2 linked regions of the Kluyveromyces lactis genome follow. The protein of the gene in region 1 purifies or fractionates together with the protein of each later gene. This does not show direct contact. Links are inferred from orthologs where the notes say so. Each region holds a gene or a part of one and is shown in the gene's direction. Other genes may lie near its edges. The genes, in order: COX8 and COX4.

Region 1 (2,480 bases):
TAGGAATTACTTCCAGCGATAAGGTAACAAACCAGAGAGTATTCCTATTTGCAAAATAAGATTGTTTAACAGAGACAATCACCTTCTTTGGAAATCGACAAAAGGTCACATGAAATCCTTAAGTCTTTGTTTAGTAACTCCTCCAAGAAAAAACAAACAGTCGAGATGCGGTATTGCTTCCACTCATGAATAATAATACTGATAGGAGAAGAAGTCATAATATGAGAACGTATTAGCATGATAAAAGGGTACCGAATAAAAAAAAATACCATTAATGATTTTTAACCAATAATTCATCAGAATGACTGTTAATCTGTGTATGTGTTGACATAAATAGAGAAATAAAAGGTTGTGGGATGTTATAGTAACGATAGGTAATTGGGAGGAAAAAAAGGATCGAATACAATTCTCCGTATTATGGACACAGAGGTTTCAAACCTCATGGCCGCACACGAATATGTTGATTTAGATAGAAAAACACAAAGTATTGCGTTTTTTTATTCAGTCCTTAGTTTTCAGCAGCCTTTTGTTCAGCCAACTTAGCGTAGTAAGCTTCTCTCTTGTTGATGATGTTCTTGTGGAAACCCCACCACCAATAGGAAGCCATAGCACCACCAATAGCGAAACCGATGGTGATATCGGCCAAGATTCTCTTTCTAATAGTACCAGTGATTGGAGCAATTGCAGACATTATTCTTTGATGTGAAGTGAGAGTGATTGATGTGAGATGAACAAACCGTTAAGGATAGCAACAGCTAATGAAAAAGGCTAAAGTCAACACTAAGAGGGGACAGAGGAAAGATATACAAAGTACTAATCAAATATCAAAATTTCAAGAAGTAAAAGAAAATCAGAAAAACCATACGACTAAAGTAAAGAACCGAAGACAGTTAGAAAAAAAATTAACCAAAACCTGTAATGGATAGTAGAGCCAGGTAAGTTTATTTCAATTTTTTTTAATTTTTAAAGTTTCTCGATTTTTCAAGCTGTCACCAAGAGGGAATTGACATTCAGAACTCCAGTAATACCGAGTCATACTGTAGTGTGGATTTTCAAGACAATATCTGATTGAGACTCTCAGTAGGTTCCGGTAGAACCTACTATCGGTTGCCCATCAATATAGCCAAGAGAGAGGTATCGCTTTTCTTCCTCTAATACTGACAGCACCGGATTGGCAAAGAGGGAAGATTTCCCGTCAGAGAAACTCTGGGGCAGCCATTGATCGCAGGTCATGTGCCTCTTATCATCTTAGTGTAGTTAGTACAAGTAGACAAGAAAGGATCTCGCGTTAAAACCGAAATTCCCATTAGCCAATGATATCCCAGGATTCGACGTGAGTGTGTCTGTATTCAGAAAAATATGTACACGGGGAAATCACGTTCCACGAAGACACAGCAGAGCTTTGCTTTAAGAGTGAAAGTCGGAAATCTTACACCATTACCCGGATACTCCGTTTGTGTCTCACTACTTTCTGAGCCGTTTTCCCACTTCTGTCAATTTTTTTTGTTATTGCACGACTTTTTCCTAATCCTGTTTCTCTTCTTAGCAGCGATAGAAAGGTAAAAAAAATATATCGTATTATTTTTTTTTTCATATTTCAATACAATTAGCACTGCAATTTACAACTCTTGTTAAGGATGGTTTATAGTTTATTGTTGATATTAATAACTTTGTTTCGATAACCTAGCGTCCAATACCACAGCAAATATTCCAATCAAAACATGTTTTCCCAAGTTACCAGACTAGCCACCAGAAGAGCCTTCTCTGCCACTTCCAAGCAATGTGGTGCCCACTTCAAGGAAGGTGTTTACTCGAACATCCCAGTTAAGATTCACAACAGAAAGATCCCATACGCTTTCATCCACTTCGGTTTCTTTGCTCTAGGTTTTGCTGTTCCATTCATCTCTTCTTACGTGCAATTGAAGAAGTTTGGTGCTTTCTAAATGAGTGGATAGAAATAAATTTCCTGCCCTCTTTGTTATATCGTATCCTTTCACAATAATTTTCGTTTTATTTTCATGTCATCATTGCTACACATTCCATCCATCTGCAAATGTCCGCACTATTGCAGCCAGCCGGCGAACATATTCTATTCTATTACTTGATGAATAATGAATAGTCAGTCCGAGGTTTAAAGAAAATACCAAGCACATCACAATAACCAAAACCAGACAGCAAAATAGAATATTACTCAACTCTTCATTTCACATTTATTTATCTCTCGAGAGTGATGTATACCTGCACTCGTCGAAATCAAAAACTAAAGCAACGGTTCGAAGCAATCTGAAGCTAAAGTTGAAATTAGTGACTTCATCGACACTTTGACGAGACTCATGCAAACAAAAAATCACAAACAGATAACAAAGGAATTAACATTATCATACTCCTGGACCGTTCGTGAGATCTAATAATAATCTTAAAAGAAAAATAGCACAAGAGATAAGTGGATTTGGAATCAAGTTTCACCGGGAGTCTTCAAT
Region 2 (2,720 bases), on another chromosome or scaffold:
CCTACGAACCTTGGCAAGCTGCATATGATGAATATGGGATGGGTGGTCTCATGAATGCTGGTTTCTCTCGTTGGAATGGATTTGGGAAATTTTTGGTCGTTGTATTGATCTTATCTTTAATCTCGAATAATATTGTTAACACATACTCTGCAGCATTCTCCATCCAATTATCAAGTGTGATGTTAGCCAAGGTGCCTCGTTGGATCTGGGCTATCGGATGTACCATCTTTTACCTCGTATGTGCGCTAGTAGGTAGAAACAGTTTTTCCACCATCTTGGGAAATTTCCTACCTATGATTGGTTACTGGATTAGCATGTACTTCATCTTACTCGTGGAAGAGAACGTCATCTTTAGAAACTGGTTCCACCATCTATATAAATTGGAATTCCCCAATGACATAGAAGTGAAACCACATCATAAACTAAGGAAATTACCAAGGCACATCCACAGGTACAACTGGGATGAATGGGACAACTCTGAAGTCATCACAAGAGGATTGGCTGCATCCGCTGCGTTCTGCATCGGTGTTGCTGGTGTGGTACTTGGAATGTGTCAAACGTATTACGTGGGGCCACTTGCCGCAAAGATTGGCGAGTATGGCGGAGATTTAGGTATGTGGCTCGGTATGGGTTTCGCAGGAGTATCATATCCACCACTAAGGTACTGCGAACTGAAGAAATTTGGCAGGTGAACCATTTTCCCCATTATCTGACATTATACACATATAATAGAAACACACATATATGTACACACATATATGTATATAACCTGTCACGCGACGCGCGCCAGATCAAATGAATAATCTCTTTAATATTAATGGCATGGCATTGCCTATATAAATCACATGACCTCTAGCCAACCATATCGCAGAATTCTCACTCAATTGACAACACCCACACTAGATCCTACTCTCGCCGGAAACAAAATAGAAACAAATACGAAAGACTACTCCAGCTAAAAAATGTGTACATCACTATGTACGAGTAGACACCTTTTTTGTATCTTTCCTTCTTCTCCCTGCTCCAATCATACTGGGAAACATGATGTGATTTTTGTACGTTTTTTGTTATAAGCGATAATTTTCATTTCTTGATTTTCGCAGGATATTGGAACCGAATGTATATATATGAATAATATTTTCAACAGTGATTTCAGAGTTTTAGAAAGTAGCTAAAGACGTTTTATCAAGTTTGTTCAAGAGAGTCATACGTTTGTTTCAGAGGGTTTTCTTTCGCCGATTACTTTCATTTGCGAATATATTCAACTGATCACCTTATCTGTCTCAGCTAGCTTACAGTATCCAAGTGGTTCTTTTTGTCATATATTGCTAATTGATTAGTTCATTACAATTCAAATATACCTTTGTTCCATCGTTTTAGATTCACACATCGGAGTATCTAAGTTATCACCTATCAATCCAATCACAAAGAAGAAATAATGTTGTCTCTACGTCAATCCCTATCGAAGTTGTTCGGCCCAGCATCCAGAGCTTTTGCTACCACCAAGGTTGCAGGTGATCAACAAGTTGTTAAGACTGCTACCAAGTTGGCTGAAGTTAACGGTGCTGACACTTTGATTGGTCCTGGTGCCAAAGACGGTGAAGTTCCAACCGAATTGGACCAAGCCACTGGTTTAGCCAGATTGGAATTGTTGGGTAAATTGGAAGGTATCGAAGTTTTCGACACCAAGCCATTGGACTCTTCCAGAATCGGTACCATGGAAAACCCAATCATTGTTGAATCCTACGATGACTACCGTTATGTCGGTGCCACTGGTTCCCCAGCTGGTTCTCACAACGTCATGTGGTTGAAGCCAACCGACGGTCAAGTCGCCAGATGTTGGGAAACCGGTTGTGTATACAAGCTTAAGATGGTCGGTGTTCCTCAAGAAGGTCACCATTAAGCATTTTAATCCTTCCTTCCATATCATTCCCACTTATCCTGGTAAAAAAAGGATTAACAACCAGTGTACCACTATATCATTCTAAAAATTCCAATACAAATGTCAAATACACAAACCTATTCTAAAATATTACAAAATAATAAATTACACAAGCTGAAGCAACAAATTACACAAAAAGTTTAGTGGGGACATATACTTGAACTGGTCCTGCACATAATCAAGATTTGTTTATATGTTTGGAAAGCGGGGAACAGGCCAGATCTATTGAATTTTAAAAGAATGATTGATTCATATTTTATACCAATTGCCTCTATTTCTTTCCCCCCCCGGATCGTTTAAACCAATTAAAGACTTATGTTACACATTGTTTCTCTACATACTACATTTCACAGGTAAGAACTCATTATTTAAATTAAGTACGATTTTATCAATAAAATTTCAAAAAAAAAAGTCTTTGTTTCAAGGTGACACCGAGGGTCAGTATGACAATTACCGATACAGAAGTAATTACCGAATATTCAAAACACTTAGTAGTTGCAAAGCAACCTTTTCAGATTATATGTATATCATCTATGAAGGGGAATTACCCCAATGATAGATGGACTTATCGGCACTTTAAGGGTTTGTTCATTTTCAGGGACTGTTTCGAAGTGGTGTTGATGATAAAAGGAAAAACAAAAAAATGTACACCCATACATACTCAAATATTAAAAAAGTTTCTCCCAAACAGTTGAAGCGAAAGAAAAGTGTAATTTAACGTATTAGGAAATTCCAAATTTACCAATTTATCTAGGGAATACTCCGCTCCTGTCTGGGA

Evidence for each region.
Region 2: the proteins of COX8 (region 1) and COX4 purify together in Saccharomyces cerevisiae (affinity purification with mass spectrometry; 4 studies listed by BioGRID, with this or other methods). This does not show direct contact. The link is inferred for Kluyveromyces lactis from reciprocal best matches to the Saccharomyces cerevisiae genes COX8 and COX4.

Annotation. Positions count from the first base shown.
Region 1 is NC_006038.1:298,869-301,348, forward strand, and holds COX8 (cytochrome c oxidase subunit VIII), read left to right. Parts: upstream 1-1,721; coding exon 1,722-1,943; downstream 1,944-2,480. Other genes in the region: COX9 (cytochrome c oxidase subunit VIIa), read right to left, coding at 509-691. UniProt on the Saccharomyces cerevisiae protein: Component of the cytochrome c oxidase, the last enzyme in the mitochondrial electron transport chain which drives oxidative phosphorylation.
Region 2 is NC_006040.1:437,215-439,934, forward strand, and holds COX4 (cytochrome c oxidase subunit IV), read left to right. Parts: upstream 1-1,438; coding exon 1,439-1,903; downstream 1,904-2,720. Other genes in the region: TPN1 (Tpn1p), read left to right, coding at 1-692. UniProt on the Saccharomyces cerevisiae protein: Component of the cytochrome c oxidase, the last enzyme in the mitochondrial electron transport chain which drives oxidative phosphorylation.